2 linked regions of the Notamacropus eugenii genome follow. The protein of the gene in region 1 interacts with the protein of each later gene in a biochemical or structural test. Links are inferred from orthologs where the notes say so. Each region holds a gene or a part of one and is shown on either strand. Other genes may lie near its edges. The genes, in order: PKD1 and HDAC9.

The links.
Region 2: the proteins of PKD1 (region 1) and HDAC9 form a complex in vitro, tested with the Homo sapiens proteins (2 studies listed by BioGRID, with this or other methods). The link is inferred for Notamacropus eugenii from reciprocal best matches to the Homo sapiens genes PKD1 and HDAC9.

Annotation. Positions count from the first base shown.
Region 1 is NC_092872.1:48,001,878-48,009,907, forward strand, and holds the start of PKD1 (polycystin-1), read left to right. Parts: upstream 1-4,993; 5' UTR 4,994-5,008; coding exon 5,009-5,295; intron 5,296-8,030. UniProt on the Homo sapiens protein: Component of a heteromeric calcium-permeable ion channel formed by PKD1 and PKD2 that is activated by interaction between PKD1 and a Wnt family member, such as WNT3A and WNT9B. Both PKD1 and PKD2 are required for channel activity.
Region 2 is NC_092874.1:10,742,271-10,750,327, forward strand, and holds the start of HDAC9 (histone deacetylase 9), read left to right. Parts: upstream 1-4,898; 5' UTR 4,899-5,059; intron 5,060-6,006; 5' UTR 6,007-6,196; intron 6,197-8,057. UniProt on the Homo sapiens protein: Responsible for the deacetylation of lysine residues on the N-terminal part of the core histones (H2A, H2B, H3 and H4).

The sequences.
Region 1 (8,030 bases):
CCTAAAACTTTGAGTTCCAACTTCTCTTCCTTCCTCCCTCCCCACCCAACTCCACTGAGAAGGCAAGCAATTCAATATAGGCTATATATGTATAGTTTTGCTAAAGACTTCCATAATAGTCATGTTGTGAAAGACTAACTATATTTCCCTCCATCCTATCCTGCCCCTCATTTCTTCTCTTCTCTCTCTTGACCTTATCTCTCCCCAAAAGTGTTTACTTCTCATTACCTCCCTCCTTGCATTTGCCCTCCCTTCTATCATCCCCCCACACCCCACTTATCCCCTTCAACCCTGCTTTCCTGTAGTGTAAGATAGCCTGCATTTATTTCTGAGGCAGTTAGGTGTGCAGTGGCTGGAGTGTTGGACTTGGAGTGGGGAAGACTTGAGTTCAAATCCTGTGTCAGACACTAGCTTTATGATCCATGGTAAGTCATTCAGCTTGTTCCTCAGCCTCAGTTTCCTCATCTGTAAAGTGGGAATAAAAATAGCATCTACTTTGTTGCCTGGTTATGAGGCTGAAATGAGATAACCTACGGAAAGTACTTTGTCAGCCTTGAAGCACAATACATATACTAGTCATCATAAATGCATTCTTCTCTTTACTCCCTTACCTGTACTTTGTACCAGCATTTTTGAGGTTAAGTAAAACCAGACTAGAAGTCAACTATTTGACAACATCTGTAATATTGTATACCCCTGGTTTCCCATCTCTCCAGCTGAATGAGGGAGATTCCCTTCATTTCAGTGAAAAGTTGTATTTAACCTTAACATGTTTCCATTGATCATAGTGGGCAGAAATATTCCTACCAAGCCTGAGGGTCTGACGACCTCTAAGACACTCCAGAAAGAGAGCCAATGGATGAGATCAAAGCCCTAACTCAACATTTTTCCACCTGGGGTAAGTGGGAGTAGTGGGAGGCTCACTTGGGATGTGGCAGGGGGAGGAACCCATATGATTTCTATGCTGCTGAAGGGCTGGATAGGGTTAGAGAGGAGGCTTCAGATGATATTGCTGGAGTTTCTAGGTTGTTGAAGGGGCAGAAAGTATGTTTTGGAATAAGACTGCAAGCCATTACCAAGGGGGCATGAGGCTAGAGTCAGGAGGAGACTTGTGGGCTGACACTACTCCCTGAGTGGGAGGAATGGAGGAGAAGCTGTCAGCACCCTCTAAATTTCTCACCCCACAGCAAAACCCCAGGAACTCCATCTTAGTTACAGCTTTGGGTAAGACAAACAGTTTAAATGGGACTCAAAACTTTAACAAACCAATAGCTTATTAGGTAAAACACATAAATAACAGTAATATGAAATACATATGAATAGATAAGAGGTACAGTCAAAACATTACATTTTCATGGCTAAGGTGGAGGGAAGGAAAAATCAAAGAAGGCTTCCTAGAAGAGGTAGCATTTGGCCTGGATGTATGGAAATATCAGTGAGAATGAGGAAAGAGGCGTCCCTCAGCATCACTAAGCTAGCTTATGGTGACTGACTCAACTTTCTCCTATTTTGCTTTGTCTGCTTGGAGTGACAAAACGGAGTAGGATGGAGTGGCCTTCATAATTAACTGGAAGTTCTTCTTAACCTTTTTGAGGAGGGCAGGGCTAGTGTAATTTAGCTGGGTGCCCATCTATTTCTCAGTGCCCCTGCTGCCCTCCTTCTGCTGCCCTCCTTTATGCCAACCCTCCCAGCTAAGGCCCCTCAGGCTGCCCCTATTCTATGTAAGGTGTCTCGTTCCCACATTCTTCTGTTCTTCTTGTTATCCTCCTCCTCCTCCTCCTCCTCCTCCTGGTCCTCCTGGTCCTCCTTCTCTTCCTGCTCCTTCTCCTCCTTCTTCTCCTCCTCCTCCTCCTCTTCCTTCTTCTTCTTCTTCTTCTTCTTCTTCTCCTTCTTCTTCTCCTTCTTTTTCCTTTTACTTTTTCCTGCCCTTCCCAACCCGAGTCAAAGAAAGGTGTTTGGTGATGGGGATGACAGCTGGTCTGAGCTGCTGGTATTGAGCAGTGACTCAGTGAGTCAGCATGTGCAAAAAAGAAATTATTTAGTTAGCTGGTGTCAGAAAAAAGAAAAGAAAAAAGGCCAGAGGCATATTCAGAGTATTCTAAAAAAGCCTTAGTGCAGCTTTAAGAAATATGTATAAATGAAATATATGAAATGTATACACATATATTTATGTGTGTGTGTATATATATACATACACACACACATACACATACATATATACATACACTCAGTTACAGTAACCCTTTTCCTTTCAAGAATACCTTTGTTAATTTTTTCTTTTTAATATTTTTTAATTGCATATAAAGACAATTTTGAACACTTATTTTTAAAAATATTGTTTCAAAATATGTTTAACATGATTGTACATGTATAATCCATATCAAATTGCATGTCAGCTTGGGGAGGGAGGATGGGAAGGAGGGAGAAAAACTTGGAACACAAAATCTTATAAAAAAATGAATGCTGGAATCTATCTTTGCATGTAATTGGAAAAAATAAAATACTATTTACTAAAAAAATTTTTTAAAAAACTTTTGAGTTCCAAATTTTCTCTCCTTTCCTCTCCCCTGACTGAGACAGTAAGTAGTTTGTTAGAGGTTATGCATGTTTGCTATTCATTCTAATTGGATTTCACATACACACACATATGAAAACAGAGTGTGAGTTACTAAAGCCCCAAACCTCCCTAGGGATGACTGTCCATTTCCTCTAATCCTCAGCCGACTCCTTGTGCCCAGCCAGAACTTCATTTAGATGTTAAGAGGAAACAGCCTCATTAAGTTTATCTCATGGTTGACATTTCAGTAAATGCAGTAGGAGCTTTCCTTTAAATTATACCTGTCCTTCCACCTACACATAAAGATGAGCTCCGGAGAAATGACCATTTGTGCTTCCTGTCATGAACAGGTCCTGTTCCAAACACGTCTTCAAAAGGAACATGGTGAAGTAAAAAGGACATCCCGTTAGGAGTCAAAGAACCTGAGTTGGAATCCTGCTTCTGCTTAGTCACCGGTGTGACTCTGGGCAAGTCTCTTCTGAACCTCAGTAGGCCTCAGTTTGAGTCATATGTAAAAGGAGGTACTTATACAAGATGACCTCTGACAGGTCTTCCAACTCTAGGCTCATTCTACCCCAGGGAAGCCCCCTGTGCCACTTAGTACATCCTTCCCAGTCGAACAGAAATCTTGGCTGTGGCAGCGTAAAATGCCAATTCACATAAATTGCTTAGTTGGGTGTCCTTAAATAAGTCACTTACCCTCTCTGAAACTCCATTTTATCATTTGTAAAATGGAATTGAATCTCTTGAAGGTTTCTTCTAGCTCCAAACTTCCATGATTCTTTTTAAAACACGAAGTAGCATAACCCTGGTTATGAGTTAGGTGTGTCATCTTTAACTCCTCCCTTCCCACACTGTCACCTGGTACTGATGAGTCTTTCTCTGAAATGTTTGTCCTATCCAGCCCTTCTTTTCCATTCCCATCTCCCTAGGAAACATCCCTTACAGCTAAAGGCCAGCAAAATTCAACAAGCATTTATTGTGTCTAACGAGTGAATTGGGAGTGATACAAGGATAAACACTAATCTGTGCCTTCCCTCTGGGAGCTCTTGTTGACGTCTCCCTTTTTTGAGCTCTCACAACACTGTGGACAATTAATGAGGACCTGACTCACAAGGCTCAACTGAGGCTCAGATGAGAATGTATAGTAAACCGTTAACAGCCTTATAAAAGTGCCACTTATTTTCATTATCACAGTATTGTCGTTTAGATATTTCATCAGTGTTTGTCGCTGACTCTCCAATGAGACTGCAGTTTCCGCAGGAACTGTACTTTGTGTTCGTAGGTTCACACACTCCGAGCTGGAAGGGTCTCGGAGGCCATTTAGTCCAAGTCCTGTTTTTGTAGATGAGGTAACGGGAGCTCACAGACATGACTTGCAGGGAGTGGGGAATCGAGGATTTGAATCAACTTCTTCTGAAGTTAGAGTCTCAGGACAAAGTTGCCTCCAAGATGCGGCTTGTTTCAGGGCTAAGCACAATGAATATCCTCTTGTGAATGTTTCCTGGAGCCAGAACTTGGGCTCCTTGAGGGCAGGGAATATTTTAATTTTTGTCTTTCTACCCTGGGTTCCTAGGAGGTGTTTCAAAATACTGGCAAACAAATAAAGGTTTTTGCGATTCTTGGAGAGGTTTGGACTGTATTTGGGGTCCAGGTGAAATCAGGGAAGGGTGTGGAGGTCGCTGAGCCCAGGGACAGTCGTGCTCAGAGACCCCTGCTCCTAGTCAGGGTAGGAGGAGGGTCCTGCGGCCGATCCCTGCCCTCAGAGCCCTAGGGCCCCATCCCAGGCAGGGCTGCATCCCTGTGGCCCAGAAAGCAGGGCGCGGGTACCCGAGGCGTCCCTTTCTCGGGGACAGGGACAGCTCGGGCAGGTTCCTGAGCCCAGGCCCCTGGAACACACGGGGCCATAAGGCACCAAGCTCCTTCCTTCCCTCGGCGGGAGCCCGGGAAGCCGGGAGCGCCGGGGCCGGGGCCCCCGAACCGCACCGCAGGGTCAGCCTGGGCGGCGAGGGTGGGCCCGGCCGGGCGCGGAGCCGACGCTGGCCCGAGAGGCGGAGGCGAAGGCGGCGGCGGCGGCGGCGGAGGGAGGCGGAGGCTTGGCTAGGTCCCCTCCTCCGGCCCGGCTCAGGGAGGAGCCCTAGCGACCCCGGCCCGGCACTGCACAGCGAGCGCGGCCTGGCCCAGGCGACGGCGGCAGCCGAGCCGGGAAGGAAGAGGTCGAGCCCGCCGCCGCACTCGCTGCCGCCGCCGTCCGTCCGCGCCGCTCTCCCCGCCGCCCGGCCCATGCAGCCCGGGAGCCCGGCGTGAGCGCTCCGGCCGGGCCTGGCTCCGGCTCCGGCTCCGGCTCCGGCTCTGGCTCCGGCCGCGGCTGCTGCTGCGGCTGCGGGGCGGCGGCCGCCGGGCTGGGCCGGGCCGGGCCAGGCCGGGGCCATGCGCAGGGTGCACTGAGCGATGCCGCGGGGACAGGGGCCGCCGCTCGCAGCCCCCTCCCCGCACGGTCATGGCGGCCCCCGGCCGCCCCCTGCTCCCGCGCCCGCCCCCGCCCGCCTCGCTTTCTGCCTTTGCCTGGGTCTCTGCCTCGGGGGCCTCTCCGCCGCCCCAGACCCGGGCTGCCAACCCTGCGGCCTTGAGTGCGATTGCACCCCGGGGCCCGGCGGTGCCTGCAGCGTCAACTGCTCCGGCCGCGGCTTGCGGGGGCTTGGGCCCGAGCTGCCCATCCCTCCCGACGTGACTTCGCTGTGAGTAACCGTTCCCCGCTCGCTCCGGCTTCTGGTCCGGCTCCAGCACCATCCTCAGCCCCTTGGCCTCCCTCTTCTCCACCTCCCTCCAGACCCCCAGCTCCTCCGGACCCCCCTCCACGCACAGCCTCTGCGACCCCCACCCCAGCGCTATCTGTGTTGTGATGCCCGGGACGGAAGTGGCACATCCCAGATGTCTGGGTTCACGTGGAGGTGGGGCACCCTTGCTGGGTGACACATCGTGGCTGCCTTGGGACAGGTTACAGTGTTTCAACAGGAGGTTACAGTGTTTCTACTTAGAGAGACTTTCGACTTGGAGATAGGAGGGTCTGGCTATTGCCCCCCTTCTCTTTTGGGGCACAGACCCACCCATAGGGAAGCTGTAAGCAATCTTGGAGGAGCAAGCAGATTGGGGATCTGGGTACCAGGGACCATCTCTGTACCAGTTGGCCCAGGGTAAGGGGGCCTACTCTCCCCTTCTTTCACTGCACTTTTCCCTGTTTTTTGCCAACTGGTCTTTGGCTGGAGATGCTGGCAGTGCTGTTGCCATGGCTTTGGGCCTGGAGGAAGGCAAGGGGGTGGGGAAGGACGGGGAGAACTGACTGAAAAAGTTGTGGGTAAGGCCTGACCATCTCTAAGCAGCAGGCCCGAATTCTGGTTCTGTGTTTGGTCCATGAAGGCCAAGAGAATGTTTGGTCTCCATGTACACTCCCGCTGTCTTCCCAACTTTCCCAGAGATCTAGATACAACCCCAGACAGAAACATACACACTTTGACAGCTGAACCTACATATCTATCTCCCTTCCTTACTTGGCTTGGCCATAGATATGTGGGATTTAGCATGGTTTTTTTGGGTGGAATTTTTGCAACGGTGTTTGGAAGATGGGGAATGTGTATGTTTGGCGCACTTAGATGGCAAAGACGTTATCACTAATCTGAAATGTATTTGGGCTTGCCCTGAAGTTAAGGGGGTCAAACCCCCACAAAATTCCGTTGGCACTCTTTGTCCCAGCCATCCTCTGTAGTTCACCCTGTAAAAGTGAAATTGTTATTATTTCTCTCCTAGATGGGGAGCAGGAGCTTGCCTGGCTTTGCTGTGGACAAAAAATGATGCATGTTAGAACAATGAAAACTTAGAACCATGTTTCAACTAAAGTTCAAACGTCTTTGCAGTAGAGAAGGAAACTCACAAGTCTTGCTGGGTGGAATTGGAGGAGAGAGGCCAATCTAGCATTCTGTCTAGGACTGCTCAGAACTGACTTTTCCCAAATTAGGAGATGTTTTGAGGGGGTTGTTTTAATCATTGTTGAATTGCTTCACTTGAACAACTGTCTGGTTCCTAACACCTTCCCAATTTTCAAGGTTAGGATGGTTTTGCTGTTCATGTCTCTAGTCACTTAGGAGTGTAAACTGTCCATTTGGATCCCTAGTGCCTTCTTTGAATTATGAGTCCCCAAGTCTAACATTCCCCCAGGATTCAGCCCTAGTGTCTAATGATCAGTTCTCTAGAGGTATGAGTCCAATATTCATGAGAATTATCTGTTCTGCTGCTTGAGAGATAACTCAAAGTATACTCCCTAGGATTCCTGCATCTAGATCAGTCTCATGTCTGGTGTGCCCTGGGGCCTGGAAGAGTGGCAGGTTTATCACCATTTGGCATATTTTTCATTATTTAATTATGCATTGTGTAATAGTTATTATGTACCAATTATTTGCTTATCGAATTGAGTTGTTTGCCTAACAATCACTATGTTGAGTAAAACTCATACGTACAGTTAAAAAAAAAGCCAGACCCCTGTGGCAGTGCTTAGGAGGAAATAGTTGGACATCTACCTGAAAAGGAGGCCAAGAAGGAAAAAAAATCTGCATACCTCACCTCTCTGTTATTGTCCATAGGAGCTTACATTTGTAGTTGGAAAGACTTTAGGCCAGAGGGATCAAGCTCAGGTCTGCAGGCTGCATACGTCTGGCCCCCCAAACTCGGCAGTGTGGCCTGAACCAGATTAAAATGTAACTAGGAAATGTTTAGCAAAATAAATAAAAATACAATAAAGATAATGTTTATTTATGGTTTTCTAAGTCAATATGTGGCTTTCAGGGACCTGCCTCTACTTTATTTGACTTTGATACTGCTTTAGGTTTTAGTGTCATTTTAGAAATGAGGAGACTGAGGCCCAGAGAAATTAGCTGGTGTGCACTGGGGTCTAGAAGAGTAGCAGGTTTATCACCATTTGGCATATTTTTCATTATTTTATTATGCATTGTGTAGTCGTTATTATGTACTGATCATGGAGAGTCACTGATGTAGTAAGTGATAGAGCTAACATTTGAATTCAGGACCACTGATTCCAAATCCTGGTAATAATGAGACAGATAATCTAGAAATCATTTTTGAATTTGGAATAAGTTGTGATATTTTGGAGCAGATGGACATTATGGAAACATTGTAGTGCAGTGTTTAAAATGAGCTTAAATGTTTTGAAAGCAAATGATCATGGTGTCAGGTGACCTAGAAGTATTCTGAGTAATGGAAGGTGACCTGGGACTCAACAATTGTTGTGACAAGCTACATGTGAATAACCATGAGTTGTTTGCATCAAGAAAAATACTTTCACTTTCTGGACGTTGGGAGAGAAAGTAGGATCCAAATCCCCCCTGTGCTTCAAGACTTAGAGCAAATAGTTCTTCCTTTCTAGACTACTCTCTGGCAGAGAGTCCCTTGTGATATTATTTCT
Region 2 (8,057 bases), on another chromosome or scaffold:
CACAGGGCTATTGTGGCACTGGGCAGTACCTGAACTTAGGTCTTCTGACTGCAAGGCTGATCTTCTCTCTGTTCTGCCAGGTTGCCTCTCCATTCTGTCTTATGCTCAGTTAATCCCCAAGTGGTTGATCGTCACTGTCTTGGACCCATTGAGGAGGATCTGAACCTGGATATGCCACAGTCACCCTCATCATCATGTGTATCCATGCATATCTCATTGGTTGGAAGTGCTAGATTCCCTATTGTTCACAGACAAGGGTCAACATTTTATCCTTCCTCCCTATCTCCCTTTGAGGAGCAACATGACTCTCTCTTTCTAGGGCAAGAGTTAAATAGATCTCCTAGGAGTCACGGATGGATTTAGAGGGACCATGAACTTGGAAGGGGGAAAAGAAATTACGTCTTTATTTTCACTAACCTCTAACCACTAACTTTAACCATTTAAAAACAAGATTCAGAGAAAGACTGGTTCTCTGGTCATTCTGGTTTTACCCAACCATCAGAGTCATCCAAAACACAGAAGAGATTTAAAAACTCTTCCTCTAGGAGGTGTGGTCTCTTGTAGATTTACCCAATCAGAATCAGTTCTCAAGCTCTTGTCTCTGGCAAACTCTCTCTCTTCCCTGAATTTGCTGTTTTACATGACCTTGGTGTATTGGAAATGGATCCCCAGAGAACCAGATAGCCGTTCTTGGAGAGTATACACAACGCTTACTTTTTAGTATTGGAAAAATAAAAACAATGAACAGTAAATAATAAAAAGAAATCTCCTGGGTATATAGATGCTTATCAGCGTCCTAGACCCTGATGGTCCCAGATGGTACATAAACCTCTCTAAACCTAGGAATTGGAAGAAGAAAACACTTTGGATTTCTTTAGGTCCCCATGACCATTTCTCCTGAGAGGAGGCAAGGGAGTTTAGACAAAATGGCCAGCTCCTTACTACATCTTTGCCTCGTGCTTTCAATAGGGCAGTATTTAAAGATGTAGGAACCTAGTATCTGGGATTTGTTATACCATGAGACATGGAGATGGATGTAATACACCAAATGGAGGCCAATGCTGCCCCCTGGCTCAGCTGCCCAGGCTCTGGTCACAAGTGAAGAGATACTTATCTCTTTGGCCCTAACTTCTTTTCCATCTCACATCACTGAATCTGAGTTATCTGGCTCCCATTTGTGGCAGGCAAGGGGTCTGTCCCATCTCACTGCCCTCTTCTAATCAGAAGCTTCACTTGTCCAATTCTTTCTCTTCCCTGGACCCAATAGTTAGAAGAGATAGTGGAATTAGGTTATTGTCCACTGGAAAAATAATGGGATCATGACTGGAGCTGATGACCAGAGTGGAGACTTTAGACAAGGAGATGGAAATAAGCCATGTGGAAAGAAAAGAAACTTTTAATGGAAAGTCAATGAGACAGTGGGAAAGGCAGAAAGATTGCATCCTTTTCTCCTTAGACTTACTCCCCACCCCCACCCATGTATTTTGTCCAAATTCAAAATGCGTAAATTGTGCTAGATTATCCTTTTCCCTCAACTTAACTCCCCCCCTCCAACATAGCCAGATTTCATCAAATCTCTTATTGTTCATTTTTTTCAAATAAGCTCAAATATGGAAACTGTACAGATCCCAAGTATTGTGTCGGTGAAATCATTTCTCTTTATGTTTAGATAATTGGCCACACAATATTTCTCATTTTCTGCAATTCTGGGAAAAACACTTCTAATTAAGCATAATAGCTGAGCATTTCTTTCATATTGCTGAGCATGTGACAGTTTTTCAAGATAAAAATCAAGAAGGTTTATTTCTCGCTGACAGCCAGAGGCTGAGTATGTTTATGTAACTATGACTGTAGACACGTCCAAGGAGCCTTCCTTTAAGGTTCCTTATCAATAAAAATGTTCCAGTTATCAACAAAGGCAATTGTACCATTTGGTTTTATACATATTTTAATTTGAAGGATCTTAATATAGGAAATGGAAAAACAAAATTTGAAAGTTGTGTCTTTGAGACTAGAATAGAATTTTTACTACCATCCTGTCATAAATCTGAAAATTCTCCATGAGTAACATGTAGTCATGGAGAAAACTGATTGATAGAAGGAGCACCAGAAGGAACTGGGGATGGTTGGTCTACAGAAGAAAAGCCTTTGGGAGGGGCTGGGGATGGTGGCTGCCTTTGGTCTCTCTGAAGACAACAAAACGTTCCGTAAGGGTCATCTTTGTACCTTTATCTCCTAATATGGTGTAGCCAATAATGAGTGCTCAATAAATTCTTATGAATTAGTCTAAGTATTGGGAGGTTTATCATGTGAGGGAGAATTTCGCTTAGTTCTGATTGACCTCAGAGAACCAGAATGAGGAGCGATGGGTGGAAGTAATAAAGAGACAAAAAATCCCTGACAATGAGCACTGTCCCAAAGTGGAACGGGCTACTTCAAAAAATGGTGGAGATCCTCTCTTTGAAGGCCTTCAAGCAAAGGCTGGAAGACCCATTGGTTATCTTTTAGAGGGGATTCTTATTCAAGACTAGGCAGCTTCTGATTTCCCTTCCACTTCCAGGAATGTAGCAAATAGGTTTCTTCCATCTGGATTAGGGTAAACATAGTATTTCTGTAGAGCCAAGAGGCCATGGCAGAGCCCTCTTCATCTTGGGAACTCTGGAAGCCCAGCTTTCATGGGACAGTGAGTTAGACATGAGTGAGGCATGGGGAGAACCTTGTTTCCCAAGGTGAGTTAATGCTCATTTTAGTGCAACTGAGGGAGGCAATTGCAGGTGATTGATGGAAAAGCTTCTGATTCTTTTCGAGGTTATAGGAAAACGGTTTAAAGAAATGCTTCCCTGGGGCTGTGATCTCACCAATTTGGGAGTTCCCTCCCATGGTGCAAATTGCAAACCATCCATGACTGCCCATTCCACATGCCTCTTGTTCATATCCTCTTATAAGTGGGCCACAGGGGGAGCCCCCACCCCAGCAGGAAGTCCGAGAATCTTCCCTGAATTCTCCTGACTTCCTGAAGGCAGCAGGGAGGCATGCAGGCTGCACACTGGGGGTTCTCTCTGTCAGTCACCTACTTCTGCACAAACATTTTATGAAATGCCTACTATGTGCCAGGCACTGTGCTAAGTAAGAACTTTCTGAATAATGGCTCCTTGCACGACATCCTCTATTCCAACCTTTTTTGTAATTTTTTTATTTGTAATGTGTGGCAGCCTGCTCACACCCACCATATGCCTCCCCATTGCCCTCTGGGGGCAATTCCTTTTAATTACAAAAAATTCTCTGAAAGCTCTAACAACAGAAATAACCTGGTTAGATCCTCTGATCATTTACATCAAGTGAGGCATAAAATGAGGAAACATAGACTTGCCAAAGGTGTTCAGGAGAATAAGATTTTAAATGTCAGGTGATAACATTTAAGAATGTGATGCATAATTAAAGATTCATAGAAATGAGGGGAACATTTTCTCAAATTCTCTCTTCTTGACCCCAGGTGTGTAGAAGTCTGTAAAGATATTCATGTCTGCTTTTTTAAAGGCAGAAGCGTATCCCTAGGATATGTAAGTACCTTTCATCTTCTGGAAGGAATCAGGTCAAGGACAACATTAACACCTTTAATGAGAGAGGATAGATTTTCATTAGACCAGCTTATTTTGAGGGGCCAGCTTTGAGGTGGCCTCTTCTACTTTATACAACTTTATTCTACTTTTGGTTCAATTTCACAGGCATGTTTAAAGGATCTTCTCTGTTTCAGACAATTTCTGTCTAAAATGATGAGTCTAATTCCTCTTTCACACGACAGCCCTTGAGAGATTTGAAGGTAGCTCCCTGGTCTCTACTAAGTTTTCTCTTCTCCAGTCTAAATAGACCCAGTTTCCTCAATTTGTCCAAATATGTTTCACGAACTTGAGACCTTTTGTCACCAAGAGGCCAGTTGAAGCTGAAGGAAAACCTTCCTAAGAAAGGAAGCAGGCCCTCAGTGAGATGGTCCACCTCCCTTTTTGGAGGGTTTCTAGGGGAAGCTGGAAACCCATCTCTCAGGTATAGTAGAGTGGGCTCCAGGTTGGACTGGCTGGCTACTGAGGTCCCTTCCCCATCTCAAACTCAATGTGCCTATGGCTCTCTCCACACTATCCCTTGTTTACTCCTCATTTGTGATGGCAAATCTTCATCTGTGCCCTTATGCAAGATAGGGTTATGGAAAGACTTCTGGGGTAGGGGCTGGGGGAGAAGCTGATTCTGTCAGCTCTTCTTTCCATCCAGGCCTGGGGCCTGGTGGTAGACCAATCCTCTTCCAATGGAATACATGATGGCAGCAGGCGCTATACCAGGTCCTGGGTCCTTTTGGTTACTCTTGACCCCCTAATCCTGGTAAACTGTATTGTTGAGAAAAGTCTATATTGTGGCATCAGCAGAGGTTGCTGGGATGTTGTCTCCCAAAGGGAAGGGAAGGTCTTCCCTCTCCAGAGGTATGTCACAACTTGGGCATTGCTGAATATGTAAGTTAGGAGAATGGCTATGAGCAGTGTGGGGATGGGCCCCCTGACCTTAGCCAGGCTGGATATCCCTGGTCCCACAACTGCAGCCTTTCCCCCTGGCCAGGCACTTTGCCAGCCTAGCTAGGGAGCTCCCATGGTTTCCCTCTTGCCATGATGAGGCATCAAAGGGTTATTTTAGTGGATTTTTAAAAAGGTTAATCAAGCATTTACTAAAGGCATGCCAGGTACCAGCGAGTGTGATAGGCTCTGGAGAAGCAGAGGAAAATGAAATAGTCCCTTGTCCTCAAGGACCTGACATTTCACGAGGGGAAACAATACAAAGAGATTCAAGACAAATAGAGTCACTTGTTCAAGGCATGCTGGAATTGATTCATGTCATGTGGCTCTCATCAGGTCAGTAGCTATGAACCACACTATGACATCATAATGTCAGCTGACTTATTTGGGATGCCATCAGTCTAAGGAAGTCTTGGTGCAGACACTCCCTCCCCTGATGGAGATCAGCACCTGTTCATCCTAGAAAGTTGCCTGGGGCACTGAGAGATCAGGTGATTTGGCAGGTAAGTGTTAGAGGCACAACCTGCCCCCAGGAATCCCTGCCTTAGAAGCCGTCTCTCTAAAATGCTCCCTCCCTACCCCCTCACAGCAGCATTGCCCATAGGTGGGGTCCAACTCTGTTTACTTTGCATGTGGTCTCATTTGATTCCTACAATGCCATTGGGAGGTGGGTGCTTTATGCTTCATTATTGCCAACTTGCAGATGAGGAAACAGGAACTTGGAGAGGAGGTTAGTCTGTACTCTCACCACCTGCTGAGTGCCAGGGGTGGAGGTTCAACCTTGGGCTTCTTGACTCTCCCCTCTGCCAGGCTGCTTCTCCACAACCTAGGACCTCGTCCTTGTCCTTGCACAGCCCCAGTGATTTCTTCTCAGCTCACATAGCTCTATGAGAGCCATCAGAAGACGCCAGACCAAACTCGGGATTTCTCAGAGACTGTACTGTGCTATCTTGCCCTGCTGTTCTTTGGCTTAGAGAACTGGCTTCCTAAAGGGGGTTCAGCATCGTTCATTGGCAGCAGGGCTACTGCAGATCTACTCTTCATAAAGCCATTGGAGCATCCATCTGTGAGCAGAATGGGACTCTCTTAGGATAGAGGCACCAGGAGAGGAGATTTTGTTTTATTGTTTCCTATGACAACCAATTGGTTACTCATGTGAATTCATGCTATGTTAACATAGGATGGTAGCATTATGGCTCTAGAATTGGAAGGGAGCTTGGAGGTCATCTTGTCCCATGCTCTCACTTTACCAAGCAGGAAGTAGAGGCTTAGGTCAAGTGAATTGTCTAGAGCCACACAGGTAGAAAGTAACAATGGCAAAATTTAAACTCAGGTTATTTGACTTGAAGTCCATGCTGTTCTAATCATTGTAACTCACATTTGCATGACATTTTCCTTTCAATAAACCTTTGAGGAAGAAGTTACAGATTAAATTAACTCTCTTTTACAGGTGAAGAAACTGAGGCTTGCTGAGGTGATGATATCAATGCCCAAAGCTACATAATTATGTGTGTCTGTATCTCTCCTGCCTTGAAGCCCAGCCTCCTTCATTATAGCACACTGCCTCTTGTTTAAGGAGGTAGGACTAGCTGTGTGTGGAAGTCATGTGCCACTCTAGGAACAGGGCCACCTGGAGAAAGGTACTCTGGGAAGCAGGGCTTAATGGGTTAATGGCTCCTGATTCCTACCCCCTCCCCAGACCCCAGTCTGGGGGTGGGAAGACAGCCCAATTGAGTTCAATAAGCATTTATTAGACATCTACTATATGCCAGACACTGTGCTAGTCTCTAGGGATTCAAAGATGAAAAAGAAATAGGTCCTGTTCTCAAAGAGTTTATATTTTACTGGAGGTGATCATGTGTGTCTGTGTGTTTGGACATGTGTGTGTATGTTTGTGCACAATGCAATGTAATTTGTTGGGGGAGGGAGAAGTAACTTCTCTGAGGAGGCTCCATAAGAAATGGAGCTTGAGCATCCCATCCCCCAGGAAGGAGTTAGGGGGATTCTGAAAAGGCAGAGCTCAGGGTATGGTCCAGACCTGGAGAGCGGTCTGAGAAAAGACAAGAGGCCAGAGATGTGGCATCACCTATAGGGAACAAGGAGGTTCTTAGGGAAATGGCAGCCTTTGGATTCCATTTCTTTCTCCCTGGTTTCTTGGCTTCGCAGTTAGAGGTGGAGTGTTTCAAAATGGATCTATATGCCTTTGAAGAATGGGAATGATCACTGGGTGAGATGATGGGTATCTAAATTAGAAGATGACCAGTTGACACCCACCTGAGGCATCCTTTAGACAGGAGCTCTTGCCAAAGTAAACAGTCCTTGATGAAGAAGTTGGGGGAAGGTCGTCTATGGACAGAGTTGTCAGATTTTGACCTGAGACTGTAGAGAGGCTGGTGGGTCAATGAGTAATGTCTTTGAGACTAAGCAGCATTGCCTGGGAGGAGGCCCCTGTGTGTTTGTTTGCGGAGAGTAAGGGATTTAGGGAGGGGGGCTCCGATTTAACAAGAGTGAGTTTAGCCATTAAGGTAATCACATTAATAATTGAGATATAATCTTTTAAGGCAGCTTGGTAGGGTGGGCTGCATGCTGAGCTTTAAGTCTAGGAGATCTTAGTTCAAATTCTACCTTGGACACTTGTGATTTGTATAATATTACAAAGGCCACTTAACCTTCCTGAGCCTCATTTTCCTTATCTATACAATGGGCAGGATAACACCTTCCACTCAGTATCCCCCCTTCAGGCTCAGTTAGAAAAGGGTACAAGCTTTAAAAGGTCTATATGTGTGTTTGTGGTGTTGTTACTGCGGCTACCATCTCGTGTGATCACCACATAACTATGAGTTAAGTATTCCCGAGGTTTTACATCGGGATATGATGGTTTACAGTGGGGCCTCTCAAAAGGTGAGTCGGAGACCTCTGGAGTTCCTACGGTCCCTTTTGGGGGCTCCACAAAGTTAAAACTACCTGCATAATGATGTTAAGACATTCTAACTTCTAATTCAGAAAATGCCGGTAGATGTAAATGCTCTTAGGAGAGGAGCTTTCTTTATTTTTAAGACCACAAGTTTGAAAACTTCTGACTGACAGACTGCTCCAGTATGATGAGTAGGTGATGCCTGTGCTAATGTGCCCATTTTACAGGTGAGGAAACGCAGCTCAGAGCACTTGTGACTTGCTGAGTAATATTACTAGTAAGTCCCAGAGCCTGATGCGTGCCTAGTCTTCTAGCTGTACTGGGTGTTGAGGGATACATTAAGAGGTTTGAAGATCAGGCCCTAAGACTGTCCTAACTAACAGGAACATTGGCTCTCTTAGGGGACAGATGATGAAACCTGTCCCCCACACCCTGACAGAGAAGAGAGGGTCTCATGCAGAATGGCCAATGAGAGCGCTGCTTTTGCTTAGCCAGGCATATTTACTACGAGGGCTTATTTTTCTTTCTCATTTTTTGAGGGGAGGGGAGTTGGTAGGGAGAGAAAATAAATGCTTGTTAAGTGAGAA